Linked DNA regions of Caenorhabditis elegans. The protein of the gene in region 1 interacts with the protein of each later gene in a pairwise test. Each region holds a gene or a part of one and is shown in the gene's direction. Other genes may lie near its edges.

Region 1 (6,078 bases):
TGGTACCTTAAGTTGTCATAAATACAAAAACTTAGGCCATGCAAACATCACCGGTGGAGATTTTTTAATACATCTATATGTCTAAACGATGTCGTTTTAATTAATGGCCAAAGTTTCAATAAACACGAAAATATAGGCCAACTCAATTTAGTCGTTGACCTAAAGCTTCAAAAAACCATAAACCACTCTATAATTACTACTCGGCAGTAGCCCGCAATTCCTTGACCAAGGTTTGCCCACTCCTTGTCCAAGGTCTGTCAGCTTATCTTTAGCCATTACAAAGAGCTGACAGACCTTGGATAGACTTTGGATAAGGAGAAAATATTTGTTTCATTTCTGGCAGTTCGCGCATGCACAACTACTCAGAAATTTATCGCCGCGGGTTACTGCCGAGGAAGTAACATTAACAATTAGAAAATTAATTTCTTCTGCTTCAGTTTTTCTGGTTACTGTAAATTTCTCGGTGGCCTGCAATCTTACCAAACTCAAGTTTCGAGTTTTTAAATTGATTTCACTATTAATTTGTTCTCAATTTTTCGAGAAAAAAATTAAACTTTTTTACCAATACCGATTGTTTGATTTTCTAAAACATTTTCATTTTTGAAAAAGCTATACATTCCTGATAGTCTAAAGTTTTCTTTTGAAAGAAAAATTTTCAAAAAGTCGTTTGAGAATTTTTGAAAATTATTAATTTTGGAAAACCTGGTCTACTTGTACTTCAGAAAAAAAAGTGATAAAATTTAAATCGAAAATTCGATAATTGATTTTTACATCTATGATTATTAATCTATTTTCAAAAATTCAAATATTGAAAAAAATATTACTTTGTTTTATTGGGATCCATTTTATCACTGGTATTCCGTAATACTTCATTTTTTGATCGAATTTCCCATAATTTCTTAATTGAAAATTGGCTGAGCACAGATTCTATTGAGAATACAGTCATTGGTTTGGATTTTTAATCCATGTTTAGTTCTGAAAATAATTTCGAGATTTTTTTTTTCTAAAACGGAAAATTAAAAATAAGATAAATCCAGAATTAATTTAGAAATAGCAGAGGAAATTTTCAAATTAAGAAAAAACTAAACTCAGTACAATTGAGAAATTTAAGATATTCAAAAAAAAGTTTAAAAATTAAAAGTGGTTTTAAGATATTTTGAAAACTATTTTGCAGATTTCAAAAAATCTAATAAAATCAGTAGACTTTAATGTAAAAATGTATTAATTTGTAATTTTTAAAAAATAAATAAATTGTTTTTTCGCGTCTCTAAAAATCGAATTTCTCATAATTATTTAGAAAACTTCAAGTAATTTTTTTCGACTTTAAGAAATTTGCAATGAAAATTCTCAACTCTCTTCAAACCCATAATAAATGTCAAAGTCATCAGACAAAAAAAAATTGTCTGAAAACACCGAATTTCATAATGAAACTTGATTTAAGTACATTTGAGGTTACCAAATTTTACCAAGTAAGAGGAGAGATTTTGGCTTATATCAAGTGGTACGGTAGGGGTACTGTAGGTGAACTGTAGAGTTGTAGCACTGTAAATGCAATTCCAAAGAGCATAAAATTTATCAAAAAAAGAGTTTGCGTGAATTTCTAATTAATTTTGTATCTTCTTTTTTTGTTAAAATTTGTTCATACTAACATATTTTTTGTTTGAAATTTAAAAAACAATCTTCGGGTTTTAAAAAGATTTTCAGGATGTAAATAATTTGGCCACGTTGTATTATTACGGAAACACGGAATTAGGCCGTGAAAGACGCAAAAGAGAAACATTTTTCAAACTTCGCTCCAGTTTTCCGCATCGGTGGCCTAGCTTTCTTTTTCGTCCATCTCCCGCGGACTCCTCTCGGACAGCATTTTTGTTGTACTTTTTATTGTACTTTTTCAAATTAACTTCTTCTTTTCAGCGAAAAAATGTCTGTAAACGTTCGCCCGGTGAAGCGATTTGTTGAAGAACAGAAAAAGAAAAATCCGGAAATTAAATTATCTGAAAAAGCCACACAACTCCTGACTGATATGCCGAAAATGGACAGCCCTGAGGTTTTTCAACAAGCGTTTGTTAACGGTTTTATCGATTTTTAATTCAGAAACTGTTCAATCTGGAAGACAAAATTGCAACGGAAATGGGTAGCGATCGAATTTTCGAAGAATTTCTCCAAGATTACGCATTTTTGAGAAATGCTGTTGAAGAATACTTGGATGGAAAGGTAGGGAGGCAGCTGTTTGAATATTTAAAAGCAATAATTGATTTTTCAGCCAACATCCTCGGATACTATCTCGAAAATCGCGCGTTTACGCCGAAATACACGACTTACCCACTATGGAACTGCCCTAATGCGAAAAGAGGTGGCCGAGAGGATGGAGAACGTTGATGCGAAGCTTCTACAGTTACAGAATGTTACTAGCGAGGTGCAACACATTCAAAAAGAAATCGATCGTTGTTTGGACTTTAGCGCCGGTGATGAGGAGCTTGAGTTGGTCCCTTTCGAGCAATTTCACACTGAAGCGTCGGAGATTCTTGCAAATGAGACGGCTGATAACGAGCACGAACAATATTTGGCAAGATTGAAGTTCGAGAATGAGCAGAGACGAGAGTTTGTGAGATTTTCAATAAAAATCTCTTTAAAATCTTTTTTCAGACTTCTCTCTACACTCAACGAGCTCGAGGGTCGTCGAAACGTACTGCAAAGCGACATACGTGGAAAAGAAGTTCGTCTTCAAGGTCTTAAACCAAAACTTGAAGATCTCACAAAAGTTGCGGAGCCCGTCTTCGAAATGGTTGGCGCCAAATTCAAAGATTTATCGATTGAAGGGGAGCAGCGAAAGCTCTCATTGCAATTGCCGGCTCCACTTGCTGTTGCACATATACATGCTGCTGCTTATAAGGAAATTCATGATGGTGAATATTCGAAAATTTTGCGAAATTTTTTGTATAAATGTGCGGTTTTAGATATTATTTCACTGAGATTTTTAAAAGCGAAATATTGTCGAAAATCTGGCATTTTGCAAAGATTTAGAGCAAAAACTGTACGAACAAGATATAAAATATCAGGAAATATCTCTCAGAAATCTGAAAATTTCTCGAAATAAATGGAATTTCAATCGATTTACAGATAATTTTAACGAATTTTGAGCAAATGTTTCGGTTCTGTTAAATTTAAAAAAAACTTAAAAATCTTAAAACTTACTTGACAAACTAGGAAAACATAGAAAACCCCTATTGAAAAATTTATGGACCATTTTCTGATAAAAATCTACTCGAATTAAATTTTGAAGCAGTTTTTTAAAAGATTATTTACCATTAAAAATGTTGAAAAAACTGGTCAAAATTGATTAAACATTTGAATGCAAAAATCAGAAACTATCAGATTTTTCACAATTTCCATATTTCAGACAAGCTCTTCGAATTCCGAATTCTTGGCACAAACGACACAGAAAAACAATCGAAAGATGAAACAGAAGCCATGAAAAGAAAACGAAAAGAAGATGAAACAACTCAAGAAAAAATTAATAAAATGGCTTCAGAACTGCTTGAAGTTCATCCAATGAGCCTGGAATTTGAGATTGAATGCTCTGAAAATATTAAAATTTCAATGCAAATTCAGTATCTGACAGAACTTAAAGTGACAACTGCGAAATGGCATATAAATACGGACTCAAAGCTCAAAAAATCACCGTTTTTCTCGATTGACTCACTGATGTCAGATTTATTCGAAAATGATACGGGAGACAAGTGTCCAAATGATGTTGGAGAAATGAAGATTGAACATTTGAAGTAAGAAATAAATATTAAAATATGAAAATCTACTTAAAATATCTGTATTATCATAAAATAGAGAATATCGTTTGAAAAGTTCAAAAAATATGCCAATTTTTACAGAATATTTAATTTTTTGAATTTCGAATAGTTATAACTTATGTATTAAACTAATTTTATACATTATATCTGAAAAACAAATTTCCGTAATTTTATTGCAAACTTCAACAACGTTGTTCCGTTTGAAAAATGGAGGAAAAATTGTTTTACTGAAAATATTAAATATTGTAGCTTCAAAAATTTTTGAAGACCCTCGGATTTATTTAGAACGGCAAAAATATAATTTTTAAAACACTTTTTTTCAAAAATTTCAATCCAAACCGCCATCAAGTTACAGAATGAACTTCAACTCAAGTGCAAAACAAATCGGAAAACCGTTCAAATTTATTCAAGAAATCAGTGGATCCGAAGGCGAAACTGATCGAATTGGAGCAACAGAGCATTTGAGAAAAGTGATCACAACGATTAGAACGAGAATATCCAATCGTGCAGTACTTGATGGAATTATTCGAGATTTGGAATCTAAGAAAACTGACGATTTGAATTTGGAACCAGAAGTGAAAATTAATTCCTTCAAGATTTGTGATGATGAATCTTTTATTGCTTCAATTCCAACAAGCCTTACGAAGAAAATTTCAAATTCCGCAGCAACCGACAGATTTTCATATAAAATTGAGGCTTCCGATGGAAATGGCAGAAAGTAATTTTTGAAAAATTCGAAAAAAATAAAAACATTAAACTTTTCGAAATATGAAACGTTTTTTCGTAAGTATACAATGAAAAATTCAATATCAAGTTTTTCAAATCTGTTAAAATTAACTGTGAAAGATATCGAAATTTTCCAATTTTTCTAGACTAATTTTGCAAAATTGCTACAAAAATTATTTTTCGAGACTTATAATTGCTTGAGATTTTCGATAAACAGATTCTATATTAAAATAATATTCCAGACTCACTGCTTATATCTCAATTCCCGCCGACTATCCACGACACACTGCACTTTTTGGAATTGCTGCTCCAGAAGATTCCGAATCAAGTACAGAAGTTGCCAGACAAATTGAGGATCGTCTGAACACTGAAGCTCACTATGTTGATGATGTGAAGAGTATTAAAGAACAACTTAGCCTGCTTCTTAAGCATATCGATCTTTCCTGATTTTTTTCCATTTTTCGTGTGATCTCTTAAATATCGTTTTTTTTTCTAAAAATGTTTTCTCAATATATCTTTGATTTTTTCAAAATTTCTACCCGATTTTTCAATATGTACCATTGGTTTTATTCCCAATATATTTTTTTGAAAAATGTTGATTAAAAATAGAATATTTGGCTCTTTCTTTCCAGCTCCATACTTCAAAAATGGGAGGAGTCACCTCAAAAGTCAATGTTGATGTTGTACAGGAACAGGTACATTTTTTAGAGAAAAACAAAAAAATCTTCTGAAAACAGATTGTGAATTCCTAAAAATAATAATTCAGAAAAATAAACTTCAATTTAATGTATTTTTTAAATAAATGTTTGAATTATTAAAGCGTTTTATTTTGAAACTGTCTAATAATTTTTAGAACTTTGTAAATAAATGGAAACTTTTTTGGAATTTAAAAAATCGATTACAGGTGAAAAAGGATCCAGTTGTGATGTACACAAAAACATCATGCACATTCTGTAATCGAGCAAAAGATCTATTTTCCGATGTTCGTGTTGCTTATAAAGAAGTGAATTTGGACACTTTGAAGGCATCTCAACCGGATGATTATTTGGGAATTGTCAATGGACTTGTATATACTACACGACAGACCAGTGTGCCACAGGTTCGATAGATATTTTTTTTGCAAAATTTGTTTTAATCTTAATCTTAATCTGAAAACGGCTAGGTATAGAATTTTCCATAAAATTTAAAAAAATCCGAATTTTAAAGTTTTTCAAATAAATTTCTTTCAGATCTTTGTCTGCGGTCGTTTCATCGGTGGATACACTGAGCTGGATGCTCTCCGCAACTCTGGACACCTCTTCGAAGCAATTGCTCAGTGCACGGGAGAGAATTCGCCGAAAGAATAAACTTTTTCACCATTTCCAAAAAAAAAGTTTTTCTTCAGTTTTTGTCTAAATTTTATTGTAGTTGAAGGTTTTCACACCTACCACGATTTATGTGTATTAAATTTTTTTTGTTTCTGAAAAGATTTGTTTCCAATAAACTTCTATTTCTTCTTTGTGTATCGTAATTCCGCAAGATTTTGGCATGCCTTCTTAAAGGCGCA
Region 2 (3,845 bases), on another chromosome or scaffold:
AAAAAACCGAGTTTTTCTGTGCACTTCCCGTCTGCTTGCTCCCCCCGCGTGCACCACATGACGGACCAAAGCGTCATGTTTCATGTGGCACACTACACGTGGCTATTAACCTTTTGCACGAGCACCTAGTTTTTTCTAAATGCTGGGCATCATGAGGGAAAATCAAGACTTTTTTTTCAGATTATGTGTGCACAATCCAGGCCAACTATGGACTCTTCGGACAGGGCGGAAAGCGTTAGTTTTTTGTATTTTTTGCTTCATTTTTTTCCAATGAATTGCCATTCCGTTGATTTTTTCTTTCCAGATTACCGTCCAACGGTGAACTATTGCCAAGACACGTACAAGAACGATTCCTGTGATAAATGCTGCAAAATGGCCGCCAGAATCCAGGGAACTAACATCAAGGAGGTGATCGTTCACAGCTGTAGAAAAAAATATATTTTTAAAAATTTATTTTCAGGCCTCCATCATCGGGTTCAACATGGTCCTTGAGAAACAACCACTCTGCGTTTGCTGCTCACCGAATACTTCTTATTGAATGAACCGACGATAAACTCAATTCTTTTTAATTTTGACATAAATAAAATACATTCGAAATAATTCTGCAATTTGTCGAGACATGCACGAAAATACAACGAAAGATGGTAACCGTAGCGGCTTTTTATCAATTCTGGCCTCAAAAGTAAATTAAATTGTATACTGTCTGATTTACTTTTAATCTGAGCAAAATCGGTGAAATTAGAGTTTTAAAAATAAATTTATTTGAAAACAAGTGAGAAACATCATTCTACAAGCTAAATGACGAAATTTTAAAGAAAAACCATTTAATCTACTAACAGACAATCACTTTTTAACAATTTAACAAACAATTTTCAAAGTATTCGCCTAGTTTCAGCCGAAAATTGCTCGAAAAGTCTGAAAATAAAATGAAAAATTCCTCAGCTCGTAAATCGACACGAAACTAGTCGGCGTCTCCTCTTTTCACACACTCTCTCCGTAGCGGGTCTCGCCACGACTGCACACAGCTGAACGAGTGTGACCGTATCCGCCAGCCGCGTTCTTTTCCGTTTTCTTTCATTTTTCTTCCAAATCCTACAGTTTTTAACCTTTTTTGATTCTTTTTCGCGATTAAATTTTTTGAATTTGAGAATTATTAGTAAAATTTATGTATTTTGTAAGATCTCTCTTTTATGGTCCCAAAAATTCACGTTTTCGTCGTTTGGTTATCGATTTTTTGACTGATTCACATTTTTCTATCACAACTCGTCATTTTCAGGGTTAACCGTTGTCGTCATGGCCAAGTCCAAGAACCACACCAATCACAACCAGAGTGAGTATTTAAATTCAGATATAAAAGTAGTTTCTGTAGAGAAATCTCTTTTTAAAAGCATTCTTAAAGAATTTGAGCGATTTTTTTTTTGGATGAATCATTAAAATAAAAACTAGAAAAAAACAGTATTGAATATTTATAATTTAATTTTCAGACAAGAAGGCTCACCGTAATGGAATCACGAAGCCAAAGAAGCACATCTTCCTCTCCATGAAGGGAGTCGACGCCAAGTTCATCAAGAACCTCCGTTTCTCCAGAAAGAACAACAAACGTCAGATCAACAAGTCCGTCGAGTCCAAGGCCTAAATTGTTGTTAATTCGGATAAACTTTGTTACCTTTAATATCATCTGTTTTTGTTTACTTATTAAAAAATTGGTAGAAGTATGCGCCGTGCAGAATATTTGAATTAACATTCGGCTCATGTTGCGTGAACAAGTTGTATGTCTGACTTTAGATGAAAGAGGACACTTTGCTCCGAAAGCTTGTGGCCGACGGCGAAGGAGTTGGCGATGATCGTAAAGTTCAGCAAATTGCCACGTTTTTCCGTGAAAGTAGAAAGGAGGATGCGAAGACTTCTGTTCCCGAAGCAGTGAAGGTTACCAAAGCTGTAAGGATCCGGGGAGATCTTGTTCAGTGAAAATGTATGTTTTCAGCTCGAGTTTTTGGAGTTGTCGATGTTGAAGCAGAAAAGAATATCCCATATGAACAAGATTCATGCAACTGAATGCGATCAGTTTGCAGAGGAAATCGATCAATCGGTACGGAGAGGAAAACACGGCAATGGAGAAAAAAAAGACATATTGCACCATCTTTCCATTAAAAATTAGTGCAAAAAGATAGAAAATCACTTGATTTATCTGAAAATCAGGTTCATTGTAATTGAAATATTTGAGAAAGTGCTCAGAAATGTAAATGACCTGAAAATTGTCGATTACAGAGTTAGCGAGCTTTGTTTTTCAAAATGGATGTTATTTCCATATAAATCTAGTAATTTTCTATATTTTGACACCAATTTTTAATGAAAAATGTTAAAACGAGAGGTCATTTTGTTAAATTGCCGTTAAATATAAGACAGGATAATTATAAAAATTTAATTTCTATTCCAGATCGAAGAAATGTACAAAAAGATGGAGGTGGCAAAGAATGAGTTGGCCGATGCGAAAATTGTAAAAAGGTAATCGATTTTCCGAAAAATGTTAACCAATTTACAATATTTTATCATTTAGAAACCGTCAAGAATACCGAAAACTTGTTAATGTACTAGAAGAAGTACCGTCTCGAGCAGAAACTACACGAAAACTGGGAGAAGTCAAAGATGACTTGGAACGACAACACGAACGTCAGAAGGTGCTTGAGGCGAAGCTTATGGATCGAAGAAATCATCTCCAAGCATTCATGATTATACTCTCCAATTTTCAGCGTTTTTGTGCAGGTTCGTGTGCATTCATTGCGGAAAGTTGAGCTGAAGCCGTGAAATTACTGTTGAAATCAAACGATCGATCTGTGAATTTTGTAAAAATTCAGTAAAATCGCCTCACTGTTTGATTCTTTGAACTCTGCTTCATTTTTTGTTGTAATTTCAGTCTTCCCACGGCAGTCATCTATCACTTTTCCGTCTTTGAATTCCCATTCTTTGATCGTTCACCTATTTTTTTTTGTTTCAGAAGACGACGACGACGATGCGGAAGTCATGTCGAATCCAGGAGAAGATGACGATGCAGCTTCAGTCACCGAAAAACAACAAGAGGATGATGTCCGAAAGTAGACAGACGGCCACCACCACGACACACACACGAAAAAAAAAGGAGAAAAGCGGGCGAAAATACTTTTTCTGTCGATAATGATCTCTAATGCGATTCACTTCTCTCACTTTCAATGAACACTTTTCTCGAACATTTATTTACTTTTTTATTGTGACTTTTTGTACATAATTTTGCGGGATTTTTGAAGTCCTGCCGAAGGAAAATATACGAAATACAAAATGGGCATCGTGGGGAATGGAAAAATCATTTACTATATATAAAGCGCGTGTCCTTCTGTCCCTATGTAGTTTGATCTTTGATCAGAGCAACGAAATTTTGGGAAACCTTATGTTAAGTGCGCAGCAGACATCGGTCTCGCGACGATGGGTCTCACCACGATGGGTCTCGCCACGATGGGTCTCACCACGATGGGTCTCGCCACGACGGGTCTCACCACGATGGGTCTCGCCACGATGGGTCTCACCACGATGGGTCTCACCACGACGGGTCTCACCACGATGGGTCTTACCACGATGGGTCTCATCACGACGGGTCTCACCACGGTGGGTCTCGCAACGATGAGTATCACCACGACGAGTCTCACCACGATGGGTCTCACCACGATGGGTCTCGCCACGACGGGTATCGCCACGATGGGTCTCACTACGGTGGGTATCGCAACGATGGGTCTCACCACGATGGGTCTCGCCACGATGGGTCTCACCACGATGGGTCTCACCACGATGGGTCTCGCCACGACGGGTCTCACCAC

What was found.
Region 2: the proteins of thoc-5 (region 1) and thoc-7 interact in a two-hybrid assay, tested with the Caenorhabditis elegans proteins (one large-scale study listed by BioGRID).

Annotation. Positions count from the first base shown.
Region 1 is NC_003281.10:5,345,204-5,351,281, reverse strand, and holds thoc-5 (THO complex subunit 5), read left to right. Parts: upstream 1-1,880; 5' UTR 1,881-1,921; coding exon 1,922-2,047; intron 2,048-2,094; coding exon 2,095-2,214; intron 2,215-2,263; coding exon 2,264-2,601; intron 2,602-2,646; coding exon 2,647-2,906; intron 2,907-3,400; coding exon 3,401-3,782; intron 3,783-4,155; coding exon 4,156-4,524; intron 4,525-4,774; coding exon 4,775-4,979; 3' UTR 4,980-5,179; coding exon of another isoform or gene 5,180-5,227; 3' UTR 5,228-5,351; downstream 5,352-6,078. Other genes in the region: glrx-21 (Glutaredoxin domain-containing protein), read left to right, coding at 5,180-5,227, 5,437-5,631, 5,762-5,878.
Region 2 is NC_003282.8:13,880,949-13,884,793, forward strand, and holds thoc-7 (THO complex subunit 7 homolog), read left to right. Parts: upstream 1-1,785; coding exon 1,786-1,938; intron 1,939-1,984; coding exon 1,985-2,089; intron 2,090-2,437; coding exon 2,438-2,505; intron 2,506-2,557; coding exon 2,558-2,763; intron 2,764-2,995; coding exon 2,996-3,096; 3' UTR 3,097-3,229; downstream 3,230-3,845. Other genes in the region: B0513.4 (Transposase), read left to right, coding at 181-234, 305-408, 461-538; rpl-29 (60S ribosomal protein L29), read left to right, coding at 1,294-1,330, 1,485-1,636.